4 linked regions of the Saccharomyces cerevisiae S288C genome follow. The gene in region 1 interacts genetically with each later gene. Each region holds a gene or a part of one and is shown in the gene's direction. Other genes may lie near its edges. The genes, in order: HSP32, YBR242W, CDA2 and IRC4.

What was found.
Region 2: mutations in HSP32 (region 1) and YBR242W together harm fitness more than expected from each alone (negative genetic interaction), as found in Saccharomyces cerevisiae (one large-scale study listed by BioGRID).
Region 3: mutations in HSP32 (region 1) and CDA2 together harm fitness more than expected from each alone (negative genetic interaction), as found in Saccharomyces cerevisiae (one large-scale study listed by BioGRID).
Region 4: mutations in HSP32 (region 1) and IRC4 together harm fitness more than expected from each alone (negative genetic interaction), as found in Saccharomyces cerevisiae (one large-scale study listed by BioGRID).

What each region holds. Positions count from the first base shown.
Region 1 is NC_001148.4:7,940-16,024, forward strand, and holds HSP32 (glutathione-independent methylglyoxalase family protein), read left to right. Parts: upstream 1-3,947; coding exon 3,948-4,661; downstream 4,662-8,085. Other genes in the region: seripauperin PAU22, read right to left, coding at 1-488; phosphopyruvate hydratase ERR2, read right to left, coding at 1,618-2,931; FEX2 (fluoride transporter), read right to left, coding at 5,289-6,416; YPL278C (uncharacterized protein), read right to left, coding at 7,114-7,416; YPL277C (uncharacterized protein), read right to left, coding at 7,466-8,085. UniProt on the Saccharomyces cerevisiae protein: Catalyzes the conversion of methylglyoxal (MG) to D-lactate in a single glutathione (GSH)-independent step. May play a role in detoxifying endogenously produced glyoxals. Involved in protection against reactive oxygen species (ROS).
Region 2 is NC_001134.8:700,362-708,300, forward strand, and holds YBR242W (5'-deoxynucleotidase), read left to right. Parts: upstream 1-4,308; coding exon 4,309-5,025; downstream 5,026-7,939. Other genes in the region: THI2 (Thi2p), read right to left, coding at 129-1,481; VVS1 (Vvs1p), read right to left, coding at 2,228-3,694; ALG7 (UDP-N-acetylglucosamine--dolichyl-phosphate N-acetylglucosaminephosphotransferase), read right to left, coding at 5,086-6,432; glutathione peroxidase GPX2, read left to right, coding at 7,167-7,655; chromatin-remodeling ATPase ISW1, read right to left, coding at 7,789-7,939. UniProt on the Saccharomyces cerevisiae protein: Catalyzes the dephosphorylation of the nucleoside 5'-monophosphates deoxyadenosine monophosphate (dAMP), deoxycytidine monophosphate (dCMP), deoxyguanosine monophosphate (dGMP) and deoxythymidine monophosphate (dTMP).
Region 3 is NC_001144.5:743,484-752,072, forward strand, and holds CDA2 (chitin deacetylase CDA2), read left to right. Parts: upstream 1-4,453; coding exon 4,454-5,392; downstream 5,393-8,589. Other genes in the region: 1-phosphatidylinositol 4-kinase STT4, read right to left, coding at 1-380; NEDD8-conjugating protein UBC12, read left to right, coding at 668-670, 805-1,368; chitin deacetylase CDA1, read left to right, coding at 2,137-3,042; DPA10 (Dpa10p), read right to left, coding at 3,365-3,628; IMH1 (Imh1p), read right to left, coding at 5,551-8,286. UniProt on the Saccharomyces cerevisiae protein: Hydrolyzes the N-acetamido groups of N-acetyl-D-glucosamine residues in chitin to form chitosan and acetate. Chitosan is a component of the spore wall.
Region 4 is NC_001136.10:1,514,252-1,519,659, reverse strand, and holds IRC4 (Irc4p), read left to right. Parts: upstream 1-1,984; coding exon 1,985-2,524; downstream 2,525-5,408.

The sequences.
Region 1 (8,085 bases):
GGAATAGCAGTGTAGATACCGTCCTTAGATAGAGCACTGGAGATAGCCGGTCTCAATCTGGTAGAGTACCATGGGACACCAGTGATGACTCTGGTGACTTGTTCAGCTGGAATACCAGTCAACATGGTGGTGAAGTCACCATAGTTGAAAACAGCTTCAGCAATCTCAACTGGGTAGGTCTCTGTTGGATGAGCTGCTTGAAACAAGTAGTATTGAGCCAAATGAGCTCTGATATCGGAGACGTAAACACCCAATTCGACCAAGTTGACTCTTTCGTCAGATGGAGATAGAGTGGTAGTGGCTGGAGCAGCGGCAACACCGGCAGCGATAGCGGCAACACCAGCAGCGATTGAAGTTAATTTGACCATTGTATTTGTTTTGTTTGTTAGTGCTGATATAAGCTTAACAGGAAAGAAATGAATAAAGACATATTCTCGAAGGCATATAGTTGAAGTATCTCTATTTATACCTATTCCTTCATTGGTCATCACCACTTAAACGATTCGTTAACAGATGCTCCTTTAGCACTTCACATATTCTCCATATCTCATCTTTCCCACAACTTCATGATCACTATGAAGATGTTTTTGTTTTTAAACGAGGCATGCATCTTTATAGATTCTGTATGCGAAGGTATTGTTTTCTGGGGCCTTTGTCTATTCGTATGCGCCGAATGTGAGAATGCCAGTTATAGGGGTGCCGAGGTGCCTTATAAAACCCTTTTCCGTGCCTGTGATACTTCCTTTTTTGGTATAGCAGAATGTCTGAATTTAGTTGCTATAGATCCTCGTTCAGAAGCGTATTGCTAAGCCTATCTCCAGTATACCCTAAACGATCGCCGAGAAAAAATAATACTGTACCCTCCTATTTCCCGGAATTGTACAGAATAGTAGGTATGTGCTGGGAGTCGTATATTGTTAGAGTCTGTAATTTTTACGCGCGCCTAGTGGATTCGTTGATACGATTACGTTATTCTAAACCGTCGCAAAGCAAATTGTGTTGAAGTAATTCAAGACTTTAAATCACTTGTACCAAAATCATTGTTGCGAAAACTTATCCTCAGTATTAGTTTCTTGACCGTAACAGTAGTTGAAAAAAATAAAATCATTTCTATGATCGATACACTTTCATTATTTAACTTCTCTATTATGGTGTAACTTCTTACTTTTGTCAGAAAAAAAGATTTCAAGACACAACAAGAATGGGGTCAAAGGTCTGCTTGTACTATCAGGAAGATTTGATACCAACCGCGTTATAAGGGTTACTAGAAAGTAATAGCTGCTAAAAAATTTAAACCGAAGAGATTAATCAGAAAGCTGAAAAACTGCAGTGTTAGTAGAGTTGTAAGCATTTCTTGATTGGAACAGCCTTCCCCCACACGTCCACCCTTGTTCAGACAGATTCGTAATGATTTTGTGTGTAGGCAATGGAAAACTTTAAAAACGGTTTGATTTCCTACAAGATAAAACATATGAATAAAATAACTTGTGTCAAATGCCCCATTTCCATACTGTAACCCAAATCAACGAAATAAAAAATAAAACCTCATATGATTTACTTTATTTAGTCATAAAAAAACAAAAAAAAAAAAAAAAAAAAAGGAAACAAGACAATCCTTTATAGTTTGTTTCCATCATGAAACCTATGACCAGCATATATACAATCGTCCCCCAGTTCCTCTTCGATACGCAAAAGTTCATTATACTTGGCCAGTCTTTCTGATCTCGACAAAGCGCCCGATTTAATTTGACCACATCTTAAACCAACGACCAAATCAGCGATAAACGGATCTTCGGTTTCACCTGATCTATGCGATATCATTACACCCCATCCAGCATCGAAAGCCTGATTGGCGGCTTCAATAGACTCAGTCAGAGTACCGATCTGGTTGAGTTTCAGCAACAGAGTATTCGCACATTTCTCCTCTATAGCACGGGCGATCCTGGTCTTGTTGGTGCATGTCAGGTCATCTGCAATAATCTGAACATTGACAGTCTTTAGGAAGGCAGACCACGAGGACCAATCATCTTCGGCGTAGGGATCTTCCAGGGAAATGATTGGGTATTTCTTTAGCAATGAATGGTAATATTCTGCTAACTGGGCTGGACTGAGCCAGTGAGATGGGTCAGAGTTCGGTTCCTTGAAATTTAGGTCGTATTTCCCGTCCTTATAAAAAACAGAAGGAGCACTATCGATTCCTACTTTCACTCTACCCTCGTAACCGCATATGTTAATGGCTTCCACAATCATGTCCAAGGCGTCTTCGGCAGTGTCAATATCGGGGGCAACTCCACCCTCGTCACCAACATTTCCAGCGGAAGGTCCATATTGCTCCTTCGCCAATATCTTCAAATGATGGTAAACTTCCGAACCCATCCTCATGGCTTCTGCAAAGCTCTGAGCCCCGACTGGCGCGATCTTGAATTCTTGCATAGCTAAAGAGCCACCGGCGTGGGCTCCACCATTCAAAACATTGAAAAAAGGAACAGGAATAACAAAGGGGTCCTGTCTAGCATCCGCTAACTCGGCTATATACTTGTAGAGAGTAATTCCCTTTTGTGCGGCAGCAGCTCGAGCAACGCACAAGGAAACACCAAGGATAGCATTGGCGCCCAACCTTGACTTGTTAGAAGTTCCGTCTAACGATATCATGAGCTCGTCTATGCCCTTCTGATTGGTTACACATAATTCGGACTTGATTAAAGCAGGCCCTATGATACTATTGACGTTACTGACTGCCTTGGTCACCCCTTTTCCCATCCATTCGGACTTGTTCCCGTCTCTAAGTTCAACAGCTTCGTGAATGCCGGTGGAGGCACCAGATGGGACGATCGCTCTGAAGAGACCATTCTCTGTTGTAATTTCAACCTCAACAGTCGGATTGCCGCGAGAATCATACACCGTTCTAGCATGTACCTTCGTGATGGACATATTTTTATCGTTGAGATTCGATTTTTTCCTCACCTTGTTTTGGTATTTCTATTGCAAGACAAAGTGAAAGAAGAAGAAGTGGTGGTAAAAAATAACTATATATAATGAAAATTGTAACCTGGTGGGAGTGCAAACTGTAAGTGATAACCTGCCAGATCCATGTTTCTATTATATACCTAAGAACCAGCCAAGTTAGGTAAACGAGGAGTCTTTCAATATCTCTTTTCTAGTGAGAATGTTATTTAGGTAAATGAACAAGTTACCACTATACTACTCACCCCCTACACTTTGTTTGTGACCTCTCCCCTTATCCAGTTCATCGAAACTTTTTTTTCAACTTGTGGCGATCTGTGACATTGTCTACTACAAGAACCGATTTTGGTTGATGTCTGTAAAAAAAACAACCTTACCTTTCCAGATCCAACTTTCCAGGAGAGCTGCGTGAGTTTCAAATATTTACCATGTCGGAGAAAGCTCCCAAGTACTTCCTTGTTCTTGTCATTTTTTCCTTATCTCCATCCTTTAAGGAAGGTATTTCCATTATGCGATTCTATAAATCCGAGCATGCGAGTATTTCTTTTCTTGGCGCGGAGTCGCTGATGACGCAATAGGCACATTCACGAACATCCAGGACTGGTAATCTTCTCGTCTTAAAGAAAATCCAACCACCAGTAAGAAACTCTTGGGTAAAATGGGGTATCTGAAATATTGCATAGCTGCAAATGAAGATATTCAGTATCAGCATAGGTATTTTCATGAAGGATAGGTAAAAAGAAAGAAAAGAAAAATATCTTTTTGACTGTTGTTCTTGCAATTATCACAATTAGGGGACTTTAAAACCGATACTTGATATATGAGCACAGTCAAGGGGCCGGTTCTTGAGATTTTAATGGAAAAGAGGAAAGTTGCACATACAGGTCTGCTTTTCTTTGCTTGCTCCAGACAACGATACTTAGAACTAAAACATATTTCTAGAACACTTTTCTCCTTCATTCAAAAAGAAAACTGGCCTTGCAATGACTCCAAAAAGAGCGCTAATATCTCTTACTTCATACCACGGTCCCTTCTATAAAGATGGTGCGAAAACAGGCGTTTTTGTAGTTGAGATTTTGCGGTCGTTCGATACTTTCGAAAAGCATGGTTTCGAAGTGGACTTCGTTTCTGAGACTGGTGGATTTGGCTGGGATGAACATTACTTGCCAAAGAGCTTTATTGGTGGCGAAGATAAGATGAACTTTGAAACGAAAAATTCCGCCTTCAATAAGGCGTTAGCGAGGATCAAGACCGCAAATGAAGTCAACGCCAGCGACTATAAAATATTCTTTGCATCTGCTGGACATGGTGCTCTATTTGACTATCCCAAAGCTAAAAATCTGCAAGATATTGCATCCAAGATATATGCCAATGGGGGTGTGATCGCTGCCATCTGTCATGGACCGCTCCTTTTCGATGGATTAATAGATATCAAAACAACAAGACCATTAATCGAAGGCAAAGCTATAACAGGTTTCCCACTCGAGGGTGAAATCGCCCTGGGAGTTGACGACATCTTGAGGAGCAGAAAATTGACAACGGTTGAACGCGTTGCAAACAAGAATGGAGCCAAGTACTTGGCGCCAATCCATCCCTGGGATGACTACTCTATTACAGATGGAAAGCTAGTTACGGGTGTTAACGCAAATTCTTCCTATTCGACCACAATTAGAGCTATAAACGCATTATATAGCTGAAACAAAAGACAAGGGAATTGTTGAAGGGGAGGCTTCTAATGGCTTTCAGTTTCTGTGAAGAGAAGGCTAACAGCTCAATGGTTCGAAAGGTAAAGAAAACGGCAGGTCGGTAGCACTCGATTTTGCTAGAATGGAAATCATATAGAGAACAATTGAATAGTAGGCCTTGGTTTTTAGTGTTGTACTCATCATGGTCATATGTGACATAGGTAATGTACATATATATATAAAAAAAAAAAAAGCAATGCTGTGAGATCATTCGTTACTTACGAAATACGCAGATTGCAATTTGAAATAAGCTGTGTTTTCTTTTTTTTCCTTTTTTTTTCTTTTTTTTGGCTTGTTATATACAACTTTTTTCTATTTCTGTTCTTTTTAGAAGTAATTAATTGGTACATAGGAAATAAATATGAATTATATTAAATGAAGTAAAAGTAAAAGAAAACGGGGAAATTTATCGTTTTGTAGTAAATAGATGATGGAACGCATTCATAAAATCTCACAAAATATTACAATAAACCGCAGTAGTCGGTAAAAATGTATTATACAACGTCTAAAATCTTGAAAATGAATTAAAAAAAAAAAAAGGTGGGATGATTGTGCAGGAAAAGGTATGAAGAAAAGATCCTAACAAATCGGGTTAGTCAATCCTCTAGTCCAAGCATAGGATCCGAGAGTTATCACCAATAAGCAATATGAAATTCCAATCGAAACAGTATAATAAATAAGCATGTTAATAAATGATAGCTTATACCCTTCATTGATAAACGTGCTAATGGTACTCAAAGTGCCGCAAAATCCGGATATTAACGCAGAAACAATATGGCATGAATTCAACGAGTTCACAATTGGAATATCCGTGGAAAAGTGTTTTTTACCACGTTGCACCATGGTAAATATGCCAATCAATAAAGTGGCGAAAACGTTTGCCAAGAAAGTACCCAATGGAAACTTTTTGTTTGTTTTATTAAACATTTCTGCCAACCAATATCTTAGGAAACCAGCGAAAATTCCAAATAGACATGGTAGTGTCCACTTGCCCCTCGAATAGTTCTCATAATACGCACACAGCACCACAAACAAAATAATTAATGGAAAAGCTAGTGCGTACGCGAGTTTATCCACAACATCAAAAAATTTCTTAAAAAATGGTGCTGGAGTTTTGAATTTAAACTCTAGAATATTTTTTTCCATTTCTTGTGTATCAACATCACCAGCATTTTCCTTTACAGTGTCTGAGGGAGGGGTATATGGCTTCGAAAACGAACTAGATCCATAAGCAACAATAACCTCCTTACCAAGTTGCCTACCGAAAATAAGACTACCCATGGAAACCATAAGATGAACGAGCAAGACAGATAAAAACTCCATTATACCGTAAGCTCTGTTCGGCAGTTTTGTGTGGTTAGCGATATTACCGTTAGTTAAGTTTGTAGAGTGTTCGAACATCTCTAGCAGCATACTAGAAAAGGAAGACAGGGCACCACAGTACCCAGTAGTTACACCTAAAAACAAGACTTGGTGATCTTTCATCCAAGTGTAAGCATTTAAAGATTGCATAATCCCCATTAGCATGCAGGATGAACAATTAGACCAGAGAACGGTCGGAGCAGTAACGAAGGCCGGAGTGTAGGTGGAAAGCGCCGTTATAGCCTGACGTGTTTCAGTACCTAATATGCAGAACGTGGTGAATGTACAAAAAACATGAATATAATGGCTCAACTTGTGATTTGATATGACCGGATTGAAAATCATCAGAGCATTACACGCTCGATTAAATAATTAAATAACTGCAGATTCTTGAGCCACCAGACGCTAAATAATAATGGCGGCAATAAATATAATCCTTTAGTACTTATTTCAGTTGTTTTTTGTTTTATTTTTTCCGTATCTCTTCCGTATCTCTTCCATCATTGCGTCAAAAGTGATTTACACTGCTACATGAATCGCGCCACTTTATGTCAGTGAATCTTTCATACATCGCAACTCCTCACTGACAGTGACTCTAGCAGAGTCACCATCTTTTCGATATACCCATCAAAGTGCACGATTCTCCTCCCCTGTTAGACAATCGTAACGTAATATCGACATGTATTCGTAGCACCGCTGCCAAATAATTTTCAGATCGTTCATTGTACATGAACCAAGCGCTGTTGCTTTACTTTATGATATTGCTGCTGAGCTCCCTTGTCTTTCATACGACGTTTTATCTTGATTTCATATCTTTTTTTTTTGGTAAAATAGAAAATACTCAACAGATATCTGATATGTATATAAACACTAAATAAAGAAAATCTTAAATCTTGCTGGCATGACTGTCGCTGTGTCTCAAATCTCTTAGTAATTCATAGATGTGTATCACCCCAAATCTCAAAAACTTCATAATTATTATTGGATTATCTAGAAATCATACCCTTCATACTGTCCCACAATGGCCTGCTCACATGAGGCGCTAATGATTACGATTAACCATCAAATCATTTATATTGATACACTGTAGTTTACTGTTAATAACCAACCTTTGTCGAGATTCATCAAAGTGGGTTCCAAATCCCTCATTGTGGGAACCTGGTTCAGTCATACCCATTGGAGATGGGCCCCAGGAAGGAGTGTAACAAACTTCATCCCAATTGCATTGCCTCTCACAACGGTAATTTAGTTCAATCCACCCTAGAGATTCAATTAAACCATCGATAGTGGAGCGAGCCGTTTCGACATTCTTTATTAAGTCGCTGGAAGTTGTGTTATCTGTCATAAAAGAGTAGACTTCGGGTATCAATAAATCATTCACTTTATAAATGACATCAACAATTTCTCCGACAACGCTGACAGCAGATGACCAAATCAAAAAGTCTGCATCCGTTTTTAAGGCCTGGTATGGGCTCACATATTGGTAGACAAAAGTTCAATGTGAGTGCTGTTGCATTGATGGCAATTGACTCATTAATATCACCATCGCTGTTCAGTATGTTACTAACAGATTTTAGTAATGGAGCAAATTTAAGGACAAGCTCATCAAATGCTAACTGCCAATCCATACTTTGCGTGGCATCAAATCCGACTTCCAGCGCCTTTTCTAAGTCATCTACCATGTCCAATTGCTTTTCCCATGTCATTCCTTCATCGAGTAATCTTCTGTTGTTAGGATCAGGAGCAATGTACGTCCTGTTTATCCCGCTCACTAGGTACCTATAGTCGATATGGATTCGATGCTCCCCGTTGTCATGCGCTGCACCCGCTCTCAACTGATTGAAGCTTTTAACTGCGTTGAAATTAGAAAAAGCCTTCTCCCAACCATCTTCTCTTTCCAGAATCGCCTTTTGGTCATCTGTTAGCTGATCTTCAACTAGGCTTCCATTTTCATCCAGAGGCCAACCTTCTTCCTTCGATATTACGGTAGGTGCTGGTAAGCCTAGGTACTGGT
Region 2 (7,939 bases), on another chromosome or scaffold:
AAACAAAATATCATGAATTTCTATCTAAAGTAGTGGGAAAAAATATGTCGTTAAAAATGGGTATAATATCCAAGCAAAGCTTTTGGCTTTTTTTTTCTTGAAATGAGTGAAGGGAAGGCTCAATAAGCCTAGTCCTGCATGGCATATACATCCTTGTAAAATTGTTGATTACACTTCAGTTGTAGCTGCCAGTACCGCAGTTGGGAACATGAAAGTGTGGTATCTTGACATGAGCAAAGTTGTTGCAATATTGTATCTTTCCAACTATTCACTAGGCGCTCCGTGACCAAGACATGTAACTCCGACGTAAGCTCGTCCTGGTAGGGATCCTCGAATAAGTCGGCATTCCCTAGCAATCCATTACAATGGTACAGGACGTCTAAATCTTGTGTATTGTTTATGATAAAGTTGACCAGCGGATACATCGAAAATCTCAATAGCTTTTGCTGGAGAAACCACACTCTTAGAAGCTTTGTCAAGTTGGGGCAGGTATATCCATGAATGATGACCAGCATTGTTATAGCTATGGATTGCCAATCGACACAACTCCAACGAGCGATGCACTCTTTGAACAGGCACGAGGCCATATTGATGTCCGGGTCGTCAATTATTTTCCCAAGGAAGCGTATGAATTCCGTGGTCAACGAGTTCCTCATCTTATTGATGAACCACGTCGTGTATTCTTGTCGGTTCAATATCATGTTCCCGTAGCAATTAAACCATAGGATCCCGAAAATTTTGCCTTGGATAATATCGATCAAAGAGGTGCTGTCTTCTGGCGGCGATGACAGCGCTGCAGTAGTGGTTTCCTCTGCTGACGACATCGAATGACCCGGCGACGGCAGCTGATCTGTAAGAGCAGAGGTAACTGCAGCCGGATTGGCCCTGAAAACTGAGTAAGGCCCGTGTTTGGAGCAATTGAGGTTGACCACAGATATGTCGTTTTCCACCATATTAAGCAATTCGTCCAACTTCTTGTCTATGCGCTTTTGAGTATAATCTCTATTTGTCATGCTACCAAAGACAGAGGCCACAGCGTTATTGTATATCTTCAATCTCCGTACGCTTATGGTGAATGTATTATCGTTAGGAAGCGTAGTTTCCTTACTTGCCTCGTGCACGCTGTCTTCGCAGTCACTTGTCGGGGGTGATAGTTGTCTAAAATGGGTCATTTGTTTAAACCTTGATTTTGAGATTTTCTGGCACAATGGTTTCGATTTCGATTTGCGAGCCTGTAATGAACTGATCAGTGAATGCTTGCGTACTTTGTAGATGTTCTCCTCTAACCACATAAGTCTGATATCGTAACTACAATTATCTCCATGTTTGGCACACAGTGAACAGATTGGTCTATTCTCGTCGCATCTGCGTTTCTTGAATCTGCATGCCCAGCACCCAGTAAATGTCCTCCCCTTGGTGGGGGGCACTTTGGAGGATGACGCTACTTTCTTGCTTCTCTGCTGCCTCTTACTATTGACCATTTGGTTCTAGTGCGGATATATATATAGGCTATATATATACGTGGTGAAATGAAATGAAAACGCTTTTAAAGTGTGCAGAAATTGTTATAGCTCTAACCCGTAGTATTAGTTCCCCATATAATTCCGACCGAGAAAGGTGCACCCACTTGTCATACAAATTGTACATATATATATATATATATATATATATATATATATATGTATATATTATACCTGCAAGCAATTGCACGCGAGTACTCTGCGTGAGTCAAAAGACTGTGGTAAAATGGTACCCATCTGATGCAGGAATTCCGACTCTTTCAAGCTAAATGCCGTTTCATTTTGGCACGGATGCATTCGCAGATTGGTTGGAAATCCGCATACATCAAATGCGCCAAGAGGGCTGCCATTGTATATTCCTTTTCTCGGCAGTCCTGCCGGATGCATTTATGCCGCTAAGACGCAGAACCGAATATTGGGCTCAGGAAAATATGCAGATAGACGCTCGCCCGTGAGCGACTCATGACGCGCGTGTGCTATTTTGGCCCCGGCAGTACAAGCGGTAGTCATGGTTTCCGCCACACGGATCTCATACAACAGCAATCCATTTGGTTTGCCTAGTTCCGTACATATACATAGATACTAACTAAATGAGTGCATATACTCATGTAGCCGTTCGTTACTAGAAGAAGAAGAAAATAAAAAACAGATGAATAGCTAGAAAGAAGTAAAAAATAGTTGCTTAGGTATATATGACTGGCTACAGATCAGTAGCCAGCCCAAACCTCGCTGTATGTAGTCTTGCCCTTTGTCTCGGGTACACGCTTGTACACATATGTAGCAAACATGGCAGCGATGGCGGCGAAGATCGCAAATACGTAGCCGCCCATGAGGCCGTGGCCTATCGGGAAGAGGTATCCGACGATGAAGGTGGCAAGCCAGTTGCACACAGTACCAAAACTTTGAGCTGTAGCGGCATCCTGCGGGTAGGATAGCTCACCAATGATCAAGAAGGGGATGGGTCCCAGACCGATGGCGAATGCGGCAATATAGACAAAAGTGGCCGTGACCAGTAAAAAGGATACGCTCAAGGTGAGACCTACACTGATCAGCAGCGACATGGCGGTCATCACCGTAGTCGAGGCAAGCAATAATGGACGGCGCCCGACGTGGTCGATGATCGCAGATGCTGCTAGAGTGACAACGACATTGAGGATGGAAATGGCAAAATTTACCTGAATCGAGTAGTCCGGTAGAATCTTGCCGATCACTTTTACACCGTAGAAGATAATAGAGTTGATGCCGCAAAATTGCTGGCACGACAAGATGGCGAGTATAACTGTGCGCGGTTTCTTGTATGAGGGATCGGTAACATATTGCCATAGTGTGGGTCCTGAATGAGTCTCTTCGCTTGACTCCGGGTCGCGGTTGTGCCCATGGCTACGCTGCCAATCCTGAATTTCTTGCTTCGCTTGTTGGTACGTTCCTGGACGCAACTTGAACAGAGCAGTTTCAGCTTCCGAGACGAATCCGTGGCTCACCAGCCACCTTGGAGATTCGTCCACTTTGAGCCAAGCTAAAATATTCGCTACCGCAATCACGGATCCGGAAAAGAGAAGCCACCTCCAGTTATAGGAGTCTGCGTACTTGAGTGCCAAGGTTTGGGTCAGCAGGATACCTAGATTGATAGAAACCTGATTCATAGATCCCATAGCGCCTCTCCACTCCACGGGGGCAATCTCGTTGATAAATAAGGGTGTGATCACAATGGCGGTGCCGCAGGACATGCCTACCAGGAACCTGCCAAATAGCAACTGCAAGTAGGAGTTGGAAAAGAAAAGCAGCAGAGAAGAAACCATGCACATGGCCGAGGCGCCCATGCTCACGTACTTTCTTCCGTATCGGTTGGCCCAGTTACCGGCGTAGTACGACCCAAACAGTCCGCCTATGCTGAATATAGACGTAATTGCGCCGTATTGAGAATCGGTTAACGCAATGCATTGCTTGAGTCCGTGTTGCCCAACCCAAGTGTCATCGTATGAGATGTTTTCGTCTGGTGCCTCAAATCTGGAGCACGATAAGAATTCTTGAGGCGCATTCAACTCTGCGATGTGGTATCCGTACTGGATCGACCCCAAACAAGCAACTATCGTGCCCAAGATTAAATGGCCCGTAATTAACGGTTTTGTTTCGCGGGAACCACCGTTAGGCATTAGTCTTTCAGTTTCAGCCATGACTTAGTTTGTTATGCCTTAGTCTCTGTGTTTTGTTGTTGTTCCAAGAGAGAAAGATATTCAGCAACTTTTGTTCTCCTGTTATTCCCTTAATCAGGAAGCAACTTTAAGGGAAATCCATTTCATCCCTCACACTTCCCATCTTTTCTCGGACAACCTTACATTACGCCTACGACGTATGACTACACAAGCAAGTTCGTTTTACAGACCGCGTATCATTGCTCGTTACAGCTCTACCAAAAGTGTACCGAGCACTGTGCCCAGAAGCTAAGCTTTTTTCGCTAACATATATATATATTTAGGTAAATCATTTACACTTTTCGTCGATCTAAAAGCTCATCGCATTTTTTCGGTCCTGATGTTAAAAATTTATTTCGTTTATTAAAAAAAAAAAAAACATTACTGAAACGTATAAAAGAAAAGTCTTAATCTATAAATATGGTTTTATCATAATTAGACTGTTTTACTCTGTCCATTGGTCATTATAAAGCCTGAAAATACCCACTGAATGGTTTTTTTCGCAGGAGCAAACCTTTTCCATTTCTAATAAACCTTCTGCACTATTTTTATTCTCATAAAAAACAATTGTCAAAGAAAGCCTACATAAAAAAAATATGACAGCAACGATCACAAATAAGAAATCATGCTCTGGTTCTGTTGAGGCAGGAAAGACACGTTTAACAACTGAATGGAAGCCTGAAAGCCAAGTACCCCAATATGTTAAAAATGAGCTCTCTAAACCCCATCCAAACTATATCCTGGCGTTTTTGAACGTGGTACAGCAATTAAAAATTCAGAGAAGAACCGGTTATCTTGACCTCGGTATTAAAGAATGTGAAAGCATATCAGATCACATGTACAGATTGAGCATAATCACCATGCTGATCAAGGATTCGCGGGTTAACCGCGATAAATGTGTCCGGATCGCATTGGTGCACGATATCGCCGAATCTTTAGTTGGCGATATTACTCCAGTTGACCCTATTGGGAAGGAAGAAAAGCATCGTCGGGAATGGGAAACCATAAAATATCTATGTAATGCTCTGATCAAGCCATACAATGAGATCGCGGCAAAGGAAATTATGGACGATTGGTTGGCTTATGAAAATGTCACCTCATTGGAAGCTAGATACGTGAAAGATATCGATAAATATGAAATGCTTGTACAATGTTTTGAGTACGAGAGGGAATACAAAGGAACGAAAAACTTCGATGATTTCTTTGGGGCTGTAGCTAGCATAAAAACAGACGAAGTAAAGGGCTGGACAAGTGACCTTGTCGTGCAGCGCCAAAAATACTTCGCCGATTTGACTCAATCGATAACTAAATAATTATCATAAATACCAACTTTTGCGTCATAAAAGTACAAAGTAACTACCAATACATAATCTTCAACGTACTGTCCATAGGTTGTCGTGGCCAAAGATGATAGCGCCTATAGCGTGTCTTCCAAGTAAAGCCAAAATTCCAATGCAGAATTGCAACTTCAAGATTGTATTGCACAATTTGTCTTCCCTCATAGGGCCAAACCATACTAATGTCAAGTTTATTAACGTCATATTAGAGGTGCTAATAATCTCATTATTTTCATCAAATTCCAGGTCAATCAAATGGAGACAGTATAGTAACTTCAAGATCGGTTTAAAAATGCTCTTTGGCGGTTCTTCTTTTAAGTTTGCTCTTGATGGATACATTAAACCGTCTTTTTCATTAAATTTAGGTAACCTATGTCTCGGGCAGGGGACCAATTTGAATAGCTGAGGACATGAATAAATAAAATTAACGATTTGAGGAATGAATAGCAAAAGCATCGTCTTTGAAAAATGACCCAGTATACCAACGACTGCGAATACCATTCCAGCGAAATAACAATATGTATCTCCCACAAACACTGTGGCGGGCCAACGATTCCATTTCCATAGCGCCAAGGATACACCCAAAAATGGGATAATCAAAACAGCGGAAAACCTATGGGAGTCTCTTGTGGCTAATGGCCCCATCGAGAAGTACAGCAAATCGTTCAATAGCGCTAAGATGGCCAACACTATACATTGGCCAACCTCTAAACCATTAACACCTGCCAGGATGTTGATGGAGTTGGGGCAAAAAATTGCCATCGATGCCATATAAACATAATACCACAGCCCCAAATCAACACTAGTCTTTTTCAACCAGCGTTCCATGAATCCGGGAATAAGTACATGCGTAACTCCAAAATCCACATAATAAACCATTAGCAGTGGGATGGCTGCAATGGCAGGCAAGAAAAACTTATGTCTCCAACGTAAATCAAATAAATCATCAGCGATACCCAAGAGGACCGTACTTTCCAAGCATAGGATAGCGCTCAAATATTCAGATAGTTTATCATGAGGAAAAATATTAGAATTCATACCGTTATCTTCAACCACTGAGACATCGCGATGGCCCCCACCTGAAGTGGTTATGACCATATACTTGTAGAAAATGAAGGGAATGTAAATGAACATTACAAATAAATAAACTGCAGCAGGGATAGCACCTATTGTTTCTGGAAGCACCGGACGGCCAGGTTTACTCAAGTCCTTACCGAATAGGCCTATTTTGATGAAGGATTTGCCCACACGTGGAATCAACATATCTGTAGCTAAATAGCCTGCTATACCAAATCCCACGGCCGCAACAAGAGCAGATGGGCCCTGATTTTTGGAATAGTAGATTAAGCATGTGATAAGTGCCAGTGAAAAAAGTCGCAACATATAGTCTACTTTTTGTTACCGTTCTCCGCCTTGCTCTACTTGATAAAGTTTTTATTTACATATTTCACAGTTATATACACATGTTAACAATTTAATTTTCGCGCTGTTTAGTAAAGCATTTTTCGAGATTGAGGCAATATAAAAGGAAAGGGCCATATACAGGAGATGAAGGAAACCTGTACTATTATTGTATTAAACACATGGTAGTAGCTAGAAAAAATTCATGCATCAACCTCTGTGTTTGTATTCGTAACATATAAATCCACAAGAAATTTTTTACTCATCATCCGCTAAAAAAAGGAAAATACGGACGTTACTTACTAAATGTACGACGAACATGTACACAAATCTTGACTATTTTTGATAGATGCAGTCTCTTGAAATGACCAACGACTCAGTAGTGTTTTCCAAGCAATTTTACTTTCAACTGTTTAATATTTTTTAGAGGCTACTCGGCCGGCCATATCTAGACAATTAGTAATTCCGATGACAAAGAGTTTAAAACCACAATATCTGCCACACATATCGTGAAAGGCATTAGTTCCATTGTCTCCGTATTAGTGCAAAGCCCCTAAGCCAGCCTGCTTTAAAAAATGTGCAGGTACTTTTGTTATTGTTTTGATATATAAAGAACTACTATTTGCTAATATGTGATGTAGCGCAGAGAACTTGCATTTCCCTGCATGGCTGACCTTGACAAGAATACAATTAGCAACAAAAAGTAATAATTCAAAATGACCACATCTTTTTATGATTTAGAATGCAAGGACAAGAAAGGCGAATCTTTTAAGTTTGACCAACTGAAAGGCAAAGTAGTTCTCATAGTTAATGTTGCCTCCAAGTGCGGCTTCACGCCGCAGTATAAAGAATTGGAAGAACTATACAAAAAATATCAAGATAAGGGGTTTGTTATTTTGGGGTTCCCATGTAATCAGTTCGGGAAGCAGGAACCGGGCTCTGATGAACAAATTACGGAATTTTGCCAGTTGAATTATGGCGTTACATTCCCAATTATGAAGAAGATTGATGTTAACGGAAGTAATGCTGACTCTGTCTATAATTATTTGAAAAGCCAAAAAGCAGGTTTACTAGGTTTCAAGGGTATCAAATGGAATTTTGAAAAGTTCTTAGTTGATTCCAATGGTAAGGTTGTCCAAAGATTTTCCTCCTTAACAAAACCATCGTCCTTGGACCAAGAAATCCAAAGCCTGTTAAGTAAATGATATCTTTGTCTATAATCAAGCAATTATCCGGAACAATAAATAATACATTTATAGATTAGTATGATTATATATTTTTCTTCAGAAGCATGGTGTAGGATATATTAAAAAAAATCGAAATATAAAAAAAGAAGGTTTAATGAGTGGTTTCGTTTTCCGGAATTTTCTCTGCTACCAACTGTTCAGTTCCAACATTCGACGTATCCTCAATCTTCGCTTTTTTGCTCTCTACTCCATCAACGTTCTCCTTCTCATTAGCGGTCTGATCTGCAAATTCTTCCCTTATC
Region 3 (8,589 bases), on another chromosome or scaffold:
TGGAAAGTTAGCAATTCAATCGGATTTCTCATCTGTTCCAACTTGAATTTCGAGGACAGAACATCTGAAATTCTTTGTCTTGGAGTTTCCAGAAAATAAGGCGCAATTATTTCTTTAAGCATTGTCTCTACCAGATCGAGCGTGGTAGGGATTGCAACACAAAGCGAAGTTAGTACTTCCCATTCACTCAATGTAAGTGGTATAGTATATATCTTTGACGTATTTGTGGAATAAAAAATAGGCAATGTATGAGTTATCAAATCTAATGTTGTACCATTACTGTTTTGATCATTTGGTGCACCCGTCGAAAGTTTAGTTAGTCTTCCAATAGCTTTCGCTCTTAAAGATGAAGAGGCTTTCAATCCTCTGGTAAATCTCATCTGCCTTAAACGAGTGGCGTTTTCGATTGCTGTAGTTATCTTTTTGTGATCTAATTTTTTTCTTGATTTACAATAGTTATTAATGTTGAATATGTTTTTTCCCACAACTCAAACATCTTCGCAGTATTCTTGAAAAAAAAAAATACTATTAACGTACCTTCATCCCTGCGCGTGCCGTTTGATGATATCAGCCAAAAGGTAAAATGAGATGAAAAAGGCCAATCATTCATAAATGTACTTAGAGACATTAAAGAATCAGTTAGAGAATATAAAACAAGATAATAAAAATGGTACGTAGATGCAACTATATCTTTCCGTTTCTCATTGGCGGTTTTTAGCGATCGAAAATACTAACATAATCTTTTTGGGGGGTGAGAATGTATATGTGTACTGGATATGTATATTCTTGGCTTTATTCAAATAGTTGAAATTACGCCAATTACAAAAGAAAAAGCAAAAAGAAAATGAAAACAGCAGTTCTATTCAGCCTAATTTATCGGCAGCAAGAATTCGTTTGAAAAGGGACCTTGATTCGCTGGACCTCCCACCAACAGTGACTTTGAATGTAATAACATCACCAGATAGTGCGGATAGATCACAATCGCCGAAATTGGAGGTAATTGTTAGGCCTGATGAAGGATATTATAATTATGGATCTATTAATTTCAATTTGGATTTTAACGAAGTTTATCCGATTGAACCACCAAAAGTTGTATGTTTGAAGAAGATCTTTCATCCAAATATCGATTTAAAGGGGAACGTTTGCCTAAATATTCTTCGAGAAGACTGGTCGCCAGCTCTAGATTTGCAGAGTATTATAACCGGGCTTCTTTTCTTGTTCTTGGAGCCTAATCCCAATGACCCGTTAAACAAGGATGCAGCAAAGTTACTGTGTGAGGGTGAGAAAGAATTTGCTGAAGCTGTGAGATTGACCATGTCTGGAGGTTCAATTGAACATGTCAAATATGATAACATAGTTTCTCCTTGAGTCAAGTTCAGAGTAATTTTCGGTTGATTTGATTATATATAAACAATAAAATTATAGATAATTGTGACATACTAGGCGAGTTGTCGCCTTGGTAACATCTTGCTACCGCCATCTTCTGTTAGTTTACGCCTTATGACCAACATTCCTTATATTCTCGTTCAAACTTTTGTCTCGATATTTTGCAGGTACCTGTAGAACTTAATGTGTTCTATTCAAAATAAGTATAAAATTTCTGGCCAGTAAAGGCAAACAAAACATAAAGATATTAATACGAAAAATTTCTTGAAGAAAACAAAAAATACTTCTTATAATAAAGAAACAGCGAAGCCATGGCTATTGACAAGATAATCAGGAAGGTGAGATACCCTGGATAGAAGACTAAGAGAGAGCAGGAAGTTGAAGAACGCAATCTCAGCTATCGCTAATTCTTACAAAAAATAAAGATATTACAACTATGGAAGAAAAAAATGAATGACTATACTAGTTAGTAATATTTAACAAGATAACGCTTTCTATTTTCTGTAAAAAAAATTCTGTCTCATGCACTTGGAAGCAGCTTCAACATTTCTCTTTTCCAGATGTCACATTTTCCGGACCGGCCGTCATTCAATCGCAATTAAAAGAGAAAAATACCAACAAGTGGGTTGATTTACTTTTGTGTTTTCAAAAAGACCAATAGTTCTAACAAAGTAGATGCTTAGAAGTAAGCAAAGTGGAATATAGAGAAACAAAATTAAGTGATAGATTTACTTTTACACAAGAAAAGAGATGAAAATTTTCAATACAATACAATCTGTGCTGTTCGCAGCATTTTTTCTAAAACAGGGAAATTGCCTTGCGTCAAATGGGAGTACCGCATTGATGGGGGAAGTAGATATGCAAACGCCCTTTCCAGAGTGGTTAACAGAATTTACTAATCTTACACAATGGCCTGGAATTGACCCACCTTATATTCCGCTAGATTACATAAATCTTACTGAAGTGCCAGAATTAGATAGGTACTATCCTGGCCAGTGTCCCAAAATTTCTAGAGAGCAGTGCTCATTTGACTGCTATAACTGCATCGATGTTGATGATGTAACTTCGTGTTTCAAACTTTCCCAAACATTTGACGACGGTCCGGCCCCGGCGACAGAGGCATTGCTCAAGAAATTGAGACAAAGAACCACTTTTTTTGTTCTGGGGATAAACACTGTTAATTATCCTGATATATATGAGCATATTTTAGAGAGGGGTCATTTGATTGGTACACACACGTGGTCACATGAATTCTTGCCAAGTTTATCAAACGAAGAAATTGTAGCCCAAATTGAATGGTCAATTTGGGCTATGAATGCCACAGGCAAACATTTCCCCAAGTATTTTAGGCCTCCATACGGTGCAATTGATAATAGGGTTAGAGCTATAGTAAAACAGTTTGGCCTAACGGTTGTCTTGTGGGATCTCGATACTTTTGATTGGAAATTAATCACTAATGATGATTTCAGAACAGAGGAAGAAATACTTATGGACATAAATACTTGGAAGGGAAAACGGAAAGGTTTGATCTTAGAGCACGATGGTGCACGAAGAACAGTTGAGGTTGCTATTAAAATCAACGAACTTATTGGTAGTGACCAATTGACAATTGCAGAATGTATTGGTGATACAGACTACATCGAACGCTACGACTAGAAGTAAGATTTCCGAGAAATAAAGTTTCTCTCTATATATCTTTGATCTCTTATTTAATTATTCAACTCGCAAAAATAAAAAGAATATTTTGTTATTTCAAAAGTAAAAAAGTATGTATTAGAATAGAGGACATATATAAAAATCATATATATCGATGCTTGAATGTATAAGGAAAAGCGTCAAATTATGAACGGTAGGTACTTAGGATGCTGATGTCACATAAAGTCAGAGGGTATAACTTTAAAAAGTAATTTTTTAGAATCTTTTAGCGTCAAAACGTTACACGTACATTTGAACAGTGTTAAGAGTAGATTAATTCAAATTATACTTTTACGTGCTCCGATACAGTCTCTACCTCTTCGTTGTCAGTGCAAATAACAATTGGCTTATCATGAACTGTTCTTGGAGATGGAGAATATCCTTTCAGACTCGTAATATTGATGACGGTAGTTATTCTGCGACATTGAGTAGTACTAGCATCCCTTATAACCGGAATAGTTGTTGATGTAGGTGAACTTTTTGGGACATAACACTTGGCAGTTGTTTGCAAATTTTTTGTGATCATTGATATGTTTCTTAGTGACATTTTTGATGCTATTGTTTTTATAGTGTAATTGCTATGAGTTTATTTTGTTGACAAGTATACTTGGCTGTCTTTTTTATATAATAACGAAAATGTGTAGTGGAAAAGCAGGTGTGTTTTGTCTTATATCTTACAAACTATATAGGCTTATATAGTTTTTTTTCAAAGATTCTTATTACTGCACAAAAAAAAATAAGATCCCAAATTGAACATTAACATTAGTCATATTCAGGGATGGCTCATCACGAACAGCAAACTGAATAATTTTCTTGTCTGCGTTCCTTTTTTTGTGCACCAATGGATGTAGTATGCGCACCTGATGCGCATAATAGATTGCAATTACACTGACTACAACTTACGTATATGCGTTTTTATTACTTTTCTATTGCAACGGCCTAAAGGAATTCGATAAAAGAAAGAGTAGGCAAGATAAGCCTGAATTTGGCTTTCGGCTGTTATTTTTACTTCCGCTAAATTTTCTTTGTTCTTCCATTGTTTTTTTGCCTTTGTGTTCTCCATTAATCCATCCAATTTTAATGTCGGATTAATGGAACTTTCTATTAACCCATAAATGCCACATAGTACGGCTGTAGCAGTGAAGGTTACAAAAGGACGGGTAACACATGAGAAACATGCGTCAGGGAACAAACTAGATATTTGATTTTGTGACGCAACGCAAAAATTACTGGCTATTCTTTTGTAGTATTATCAAAATCCATTTAAAATATTCTCTCTCCTTCAGTAATCCTCTATTATTTATCAAAAACCCACAGTGGGTAAACAAACTGCAAAAGAGTTGTTATTATTTCTACGGATCGGCAATTGAAAATGAGAATACAACTAAATACAATTGATTTGCAATGTATTATTGCACTTTCCTGTCTGGGGCAATTTGTTCACGCGGAAGCTAATAGGGAAGATTTAAAGCAGATAGACTTTCAATTTCCTGTATTGGAAAGGGCAGCTACAAAAACGCCTTTTCCGGATTGGCTTAGTGCATTTACCGGGTTAAAAGAATGGCCTGGGTTAGATCCACCTTATATACCTTTAGATTTCATTGATTTCAGTCAAATTCCAGATTATAAGGAATATGATCAAAACCATTGCGACAGTGTTCCAAGGGACTCGTGCTCTTTCGATTGCCATCACTGCACCGAACACGATGATGTGTACACATGTTCCAAACTTTCCCAGACATTTGACGATGGTCCTTCTGCTTCCACTACTAAATTATTGGACCGGTTGAAGCATAATTCCACCTTCTTCAATTTAGGTGTCAATATAGTTCAACATCCAGATATCTATCAAAGAATGCAAAAGGAGGGACACTTAATCGGCTCACATACCTGGTCTCACGTATATTTGCCAAATGTATCGAATGAAAAAATTATAGCTCAAATTGAATGGTCCATCTGGGCGATGAATGCTACTGGCAACCATACCCCCAAATGGTTCAGACCTCCATATGGCGGAATAGATAATAGAGTAAGAGCAATAACAAGGCAATTTGGCTTACAAGCCGTCTTATGGGATCACGATACTTTTGATTGGAGCCTCCTTCTCAATGATTCTGTCATAACTGAACAAGAAATTCTTCAAAATGTAATAAACTGGAACAAGTCAGGAACCGGATTAATATTAGAACACGATTCAACGGAAAAAACTGTCGATCTTGCCATTAAAATAAATAAGTTGATAGGTGATGATCAATCAACAGTTTCTCATTGTGTCGGCGGAATTGATTACATAAAAGAATTCTTGTCCTAATTTTCAGGGAATTGAAGAAAATAAGGAAGAATTAAATTACAATTTAAAAAGAAATTGCTTTAGTATTTTATATATAGACATGCAGCAACTTCTTGATATATTTCAGGAAGAAAAAAACTGTTTCAATATATACGTATCTTCTGCTTTCAGCTACATTTTTACTTCAGAGACATAACCAGTCTTTTTTCATCAGTACTGTCCAGTTGTAACAACATAGAAATTACAGGAAGTAATTGGTTCCGTTGTTCCTTGTGCTCCAAAAATCCCAACAAAACATTTTTTATATATGCAATTTTTTCATTTTTCTCAGAGTCTAACTCCAATGAACTTGATGATCGTATCTTCTCTAATTTAGTTGGATTAGAGTTATTCGCTGGTGAGGAATCAATATTCGCGTTAGCTAGAGTACCGATAGAACCAGACCTACTAACTCTTCCTGACTTGTCACTGTATTGTCTTTCCTTTAAAGCATTCAATTGAGAGGACAATGAACGATAATTTTTTAGTAATCGATCAAATTTCTTGTTAAGTTCGTTATTTAAATTCAGAAGTTTCTCATTGGCAGACTGTAGCTCAAAATTCTTTTCATCAGCCTTAGACAATGAGAGTTTTAAATTAGATGTGATCTGTTCCAACTGATCGGAATCATCTGAAGTGGCTTGAGTCTTCCTTTTGATGTCATTGTTAACATGTTTCAATGCGTCAACCTCTGATTTTAGTCCCTCTTCACGAAGCTTTAAAGCGTGTATTTCCGATTTCAGCTCAGTTACTGTATGCTTCCACTCTTGTAATTCAGTGGCCTTTCTGGATGTTTGTAAGTCTAATTCTGCTTCCAATTTATTCTTTTCATCCGTTAAATAGGCCAATTTATTCTCCAACTCTTTTTGTTTGCTCGAATCATCTGTCTGACTGTCCGAAACTAACCTTCTCAATGTGTTAGCTTCTCTGGTTTTGTCTTGAACAATATTAGCATATTCATTTAGTTCATCTTCTAAAGATAAAATTTTTTTTGTAGATTCCTTCAACTTGACATTTAGTTCCTCACATTGTCTTTTGATAGAATCTATGTGTTCATTCGAATTACTTTTTACATTTTGCAAGGTATTGTATTTTTCTTGCAAAATATTCAATCTTTCCGATAATTTACCATTTTCTTTCAAATACTCCTCGTAGGAATTAGAATTCTTTGCGATATCATTATGCAGTGTCTCATTTTCCTTTTTTAATAAGTCTAATCTGTTAGAAATTTTAGCATGATCTTTTCTCAGCTGTTCTGTGGATTTTTCAGCCACGTCCTTTTGCTCACTAAATTGTTTAACTTGTTCCTCCAAGTAACTCACAGTTTTTTCCTTTTGTTTATAAGAGGTTCTTAAAGAAGTAAGCTCCTTTGTTATGTTTGATTTTTCGTAGGTAAGTTGAGATATCTCCTCATTTAATTTGGCTACCTTGTTCTGCGATGTAGTCTGCTCTTTCTCCTTTTCTGTACATAAATTCTTCAGATGCTCTACTTTCTTGCTCAATAACTCTATCTTACTTCTCAACTCAGTATTTTTAGCTTCGTAGGCCTCGATCATCGTTGCATTTTTATGGCGTAAATCATCGAGCTCCAGCTTAACGGTTTTCACTTCTTCATTTTGTTTACTCGAAGACTCTTTAATCTCATCTTTTGCGTCCACAAGCTCATTGCCTACAGTCCTCAGCATATCTCTCACCTCCTCTAGCTCCGAATTTTTTTCTTTCAATGACTTCTTGGTATCGATCAACTCGGTGTTAAGGGTTTCCAGCTCCTTTGCTGATTTTTCGAGCTGTGAGTTTTCCAATTCTTTAGCATCTTTTAGTTCTGCTTCTATATCTTCATACTTTTGCTTCCAATCTTCACAATCTTTATATTTTTCTTGTAATTCTTGCAAATTTTCTTTAAGCTTATCATATTCTTCAGTATTGATTGAGTTATCGACCGTTTCCTCTTCACTGATATCACCCGTAGTTATGCCTCCCTTATTTTTCTTTCCCTTGTTTCTATTCTTTTTCCTTCTGTTATTGTTTCCTACATTTTGATGAGATATCGCCTTCGGTAACTCCTTCATTTTTTTTTCCAATTCACTCAGCTTGCGCTCTTTCTCTTTTAAAGTAATATTTAGTTCTGCCAACTCTGAGGACTTTTCCTCCATTATAGTACTTTTCGAAGACAAATTTTGCTCCAATTCGGTTATCTTCATTCGACTGTCCTCGAGAGAATGGTTCTTTATAGCCAATTCTTCCTTCAGTTCGGATATAGATACTTCTTCTTTCTGTTTTTTGGCCTCCCTTTCTTCCTTTAGTATATTTTCCAGTGCAACTATTTTTTCTCTCAAACCTGAAACAGTATCATTTTTTTCTTTTTGTACAGTATCCAATTCTATGTTTAAAGCTTCCATTTTTTTTTTTAGATCGTCTATGTCATTTTTATAATTTTGCTCTTTTTTCAAAAATTCCTCTTCTTTATCCTTCAGAGTTTCACTAGAGGCGCTTTCTGGAATTTCCGAGTTCTGCTTAGTTAATCTCTTGATCTCATCATTCAATAGGTTATTTTTGTTGTTTAAATCCTGGAAAAAAGCTGGCAACGTATCCACTGCGTCGTCAATATTAGATATGGGTGTATTTTCCGCTAAAATCTTTTCAACAGCCTCTAACTTCTCTGACTTTAATTTTTCATTTTTGTATGCGGAGAGTAGCAAAGGGTATTTTTGTTCATATTTCTCAAATTTTCTTAATTTAGCTTGTATTTCTTTTGGCAAGCCACTCTTATCATCTTCGATTTGTTGTTCTGACGGGGTAGGGCTCATATCATCGGCTAAGCCCTTCGCTAATTCATCGGTAAGATTCTTACCAATTTGTGACAGCTGTTTGAACATTGAATCAGCAAATGTTTCCCTAAGTTAAAATCACCTCAAATGTAACTCCTGTTGCTTACTATTTGACGTTTCTGCTACATTTGGTTCTCTTATATTGCTGGATCTGAAAATCCGAACTATGAGAATGCGGGTAATAGCTTTTCATAGAATCACTAATTGATATTTTTTCAGGTAATAAGTTTCCTCTAATCGGGCATTTAAAATCTTGGATCGATAACTTAACTGGGTGTAATAAAATATATAAAGATATAAAATAGATATATATATATAAAACGAACTTTATCAAGAAGAACTGCAAATGAA
Region 4 (5,408 bases), on another chromosome or scaffold:
ATACCACACATAATCTCGCAATTATGTGAAGCCAAAATAATCAAGCGAAACCATAAGTCATATTTAGTGTATGCTGGCATATCAAGCCTTTTCGAACCTCTTTATAAATTTTTGTAGTACCATTGACTCTTCAGACTAACCATGATAAAATCTTTTTATAGAAAATAAAAAAAATGGAAATCGTAAATGCTTGGTATTTAAAAAGTACCCATTTCGTGCATCTAAATATACTAATATTCAGTGAATGGTGATAAAGGTACTCCACACTTACTTGGATCACTCTTGTGATCAATTTAAGATACCTATATGTGTAACCGTATTATGTAATTATGAAGTATAAGTCGTTGAAAGACTTATACTTTTTAGGCGTAATATCAGATGGAATCAAAGAAATTATAGAAAACAGTAGATCAGAGATCCTGCCTTTGGAATTCTGTAATTCAACATATGGAAAAATTGATGCGAAATCACAAGAGTACAGGGATAATTTGGTAATGTATCTCACTAGTTACCATTGTTTTGCTACGCGTACTATCTCGTTTCAATCACCTCTTCTATAATATTACTAAAAAATGTTCATATGTTATATGGCGTACCGATAAAGTTATTGCATTTCTCATGCGATTTTAACTTCCTTTTCAAGTCAAGGATACTTTGTGCAAGCGTAAATCCTTGCTCAATCTCCTCTGCTCAAAATGAAAAAAAAAAAAACGCAGAATCATATGCAGGATGCAATATTGCTTAAATGATTCTATATTTTGCACTTATGTGTGAAGAGTGTAATTTTTGATCTTCCATTTTAATGTTATGCACATAGAGCTGAAATTAAATGCGTCATATATAATTATTATGAGTGAGTGGATTTTGAGATAATTATTGGGAATTCATTATTGCTTGAGATAATATTATTACTTATACAGAATACACTAGAAGTGCTCCTCGGGGACATAGAGATCCATAAAAGGGAATCGATAATTCTACACATTAATCTGTTTTATTTCTTTATCTGTTTTACACGTTTTCATTCATTATCTTATTACAAAATCAGCCCTTGCGCTTCATGTTCCATTATACTCGCAGACTGTTTCTCATCATTTATCTCATCTTTAACTCCATTCAGTATATTATCTTAATAACGCGACTACTAGTAGTGAATAATGGTCAATTTTTACTTCAGAAACTTCCCTTGATTTCATTCATAGATGTTATTTCATTGTCAATTTTTACTCTTACTCACCGATTTGAATGACAGTAAAGAACTTTGCTCAATTAATATTATATTTGTTGTTATCGTCTAACGCTGTAAGTATATGGTACTATCATAAGAACCTCAGTAGTGGAATATGGTTGTTTCTTGTGCTGACATGATTCCGGATGGCCTGTAGGAAAGTATCCAAGATTTTTATTATCAGATACCGGTATGCATTCCATAATGCCAGAGTTTGCGTTCTTACGTCAAAGAACAATGATGCTACGGAGCGCAAGAAAGTGACGTGGCCAACTATCAGCGCGCTAGGATATGTATGCACTGCCGAAAGGCTGAAGCGTATCGTACATTAATTCATAAAGAGAAAGAAATCTCAACCCTGAATTTAGGATAGCGAAGTGCAATAAGAAAAACTTTACCATTGTTTTCAGGATGAATTCTATATCAGCCTGTTTATATAAACAATTTGACAATAGTGCGTAAAGCTAAAAAAGGAAGCATGCCCTTTGTTCCTTATCGGGTGGAGAGGGCCGCACTTAATCTCGAGCGGATATCAGGTACCAAAAGCCTAATTGAAGCAGGCAAATTTTTTTTCCCTATTTTCTTTTATTTGAGTGTGTACATACTAATATAAATTTGATCAAATAATGAATGCGATTAAAAATCAATATTGGCAAATGGAAAAAAATCTAATAGCGGCTAATAGTGAGACTTACATCGCTATAGATTGGTAATTAAACGAATTAAATAATAACAATTGAAAAAAAAAAAACTATCATGAGAGAATATACCAGTAAAAAAGAACTAAAGGAAGAGATTGAAAAAAAATATGAAAAATATGATGCAGAATTTGAAACAATCTCTGAATCTCAAAAAGACGAAAAAGTTGAAACAGTGGATAGAACACCCTCTGAAAACCTCTCTTATCAATTGGGCTGGGTTAATTTATTATTAGAGTGGGAAGCAAAGGAAATTGCTGGGTATAATGTGGAAACTCCTGCGCCTGGTTATAAATGGAACAATTTAGGAGGATTATACCAGTCATTTTATAAAAAATACGGAATCTACTCCATTAAGGAGCAAAGAGCCAAGCTGAGAGAGGCCGTAAACGAGGTCTATAAATGGATATCTACTTTATCTGATGATGAGCTCTTTCAAGCGGGAAATAGAAAATGGGCTACAACTAAAGCTATGTGGCCTGTGTATAAATGGATCCATATCAACACGGTTGCTCCTTTCACAAACTTTAGAGGAAAAATTAGAAAATGGAAGAGACTAGTGCCTGAAGAACAACGCATAAAAAGGAGGAAGATATAATGAGAAAGTTGTATATGGCCGTCTATTTTTTTTCTTGCAGGATTTAGAAACTACCACAGGAAAACCTTTTTTAATATCATATTTTTTGATATTATTATATTTGAGAAATGAATCTCGATTATTATGAGTCAATTTAACAAAACCTCATATAATGTACAGCAGTATAAAGACAAAACTCTCTTACGCTTACCATAGCCTCAATAACATGTCACAATACGAACTTTTTATGTTCTTCCCATATATTTTATTGTACTCTACACACACAGTATTGATCATATAGTTAATTTACCTTACTATACGCTAACCTTTAAAGCAACAAAGATATAGACGATACCATACATGAATGTCGATCAGAGACGTATGGTATAGCTTGTGTCACATTCTGCTATCGTATATGGTATACATGGCACATACTTTAAATTTTAAAGTAATGTCACTTGATTAAGATCTTTCCTATACGTCAAGGTCTCGAGATAAAACTTTATGTCTCAAATAATACATGCTAGGCATATAATGACCCATTTTCTGGAGTTGATGTACTCAAGACATTGGTTAAATATCAATCACGCATGATGATAGTGCGCCCTATTATAACCCATTTTTGTCATCGTCATCACGCTTCATCACCTGAGAAAAGTAACATACAAACTCAACGCCTACTAAGATTAATACATCAAAAACGATATCGTTGCCATGTACGTGCCCTAACTGCAGAAGAGAACTTCAACACTTGGACTAAAATTCACATGAAATTCTCCTAACATTCTAACATCGGTGACATCATTCCAAACCTCTTTGTAAAAGAATATATGAACAACATATGCATTAGAATAACGTGCCGTTAATTTTGCTCGAATTAACTTACCCCAGACTTGACAAAAATCTAAAAACTAACTACTCAGAAACACAAGCAAGCCTTGTGCATAAGAAAGATGTAAATCCATAGCATCAGCAGTTTCGAACTTGATACACCTCCAATTATTGCTTCATAAAGAATACATCTCCGTCTGGTAATGCGATGGCCCCGGTTTAGAGTACCCTTCTTGCGCAAGGTACTTGTGTGATAAGTAGCGCATTTTTTGCACATCACGTATGCTACTTTTGTATTCTTCACTAGCAGGCACTACAGTTGAAATAGAATTGAAGCTTGAAGTGTCGTATGGGTTATTCCGATTAGTTCACCTATTCGCATATTACGATTTTATAATCAGAGTGATATCAATGAGTATTATAACCTTTAAGTCATTGTGCTTATGCTATCTATAAACGTCCAGCGGCACATAATTCATCTATTTATGCAATTCCTACAATAAATGTTGATATCTTCATGGAAATTTCTTAAGCACAAACTTGTATTTAATATCCTGCATAAAGAAAACAGACATCTAGAAAACTTTCATAATTTTCAAAATAATCTTCCTTTATACACACTCTAGCGACCTGGGTTTACATTTCCGTGTATGATTGCTTTATATAATAGGACAATAAAGGAAAGTCGCTAGAAGAGAATATTATAGAAAGCTAAAGTGTTTAGAAACAGATGACTTAGAAGCACCTCTGTAATGTGGAGACAATGGTCTCAAGTTGGCGCATACATCAGTTTGCCACAGCGACAGAAGTATAACCGATTAACTCAACATGAAGGATCCTAGAATATACCGCAAGATTCGATTATCGATCGTCTACTACATCATAGTAGCAGTTAATATTACTAAAATACATGCATCTTTTGTATGATACATGATCAATATATATGATTATATTACTTCTTTCAGTTTAGCATTTTAAGGATATTAGCACCACAGGCAGAATCCCACTTTTTCAGTCTCTCATACTCTCTCAGTTTGATTGAGATTTAACAATATCAGCACATTTTAGAAGATGCTACAGTCAAATACCGCCTCATCTAAAGCATGTTCTACATATATCACAACGTCACGTTGAATAAGGCCATGTGACACGGGTTTCTGCCGGTCGACATTCCAAGCATTGTATTACAATCTTCTTTCATTATGACATACTATTGCATTTTCTAGGGAATATTCAAAGCTTGTCCATACCGAATATAAGCGATCACGTTTTGATTACCATTTTTTTTTTTACCTACTCTGTCTTTAATATTAGAACTATACATGGGTAAGATTGGTAGATGATAGTATATACCTATAATTACAGTTTCATAGAATGGAACTTTTAAATTTTATTCTAACTTTTATGAAATACCTTAAAGCGCAAAATACAGGCTGACAGGATAACCACAATGTCTCAAATCCCACCTGCATTAGCTATTTTTAATAATCAGTTCATTATTTCCATTTTCATGTATACGGTTACTATGCAATTAATGGTAATGCATATTCATTGGCGAAGGCAGATATCTCCAAAAGTTCATTCAGCACGAAAAAATGCACCGCACGCATCAAATGATGTTTTGAATTTTAGCACTTATGTTTAAAGACTATTCGTTGATAATCCATTGTTTCCACTATTTTCAAAATCTTACCAAATGACAGCTGAACTTGCCGGAAAGCAGGGTTTTTGTAAAAGTAATACCGTTCCTTGCAATTGCATACAGGCCATGAGTACTAAAAATACTGTGGTCATTTTATGCAATCACTAGACACTCAAGAAACTGTAGAAAAAGATATCAGCAGAATACAAAAAATCTTTAACGAATGATTGTATTGGAGATTTGGAGTCTTAAATAGCTATGTGGCATTTAATTGAGTCTATTGCATAGTTCCTTTGATTTTATGTACGCCCTCGCCACTATATTTCAATGATATAGTGATTCAACTTATAGAGTACATATCTGCTTAGGAGCAACATACTTGAATCATTTTTGTTAGCTACATTCCTTAAATGGTCGCTAGGGAGAGAATTT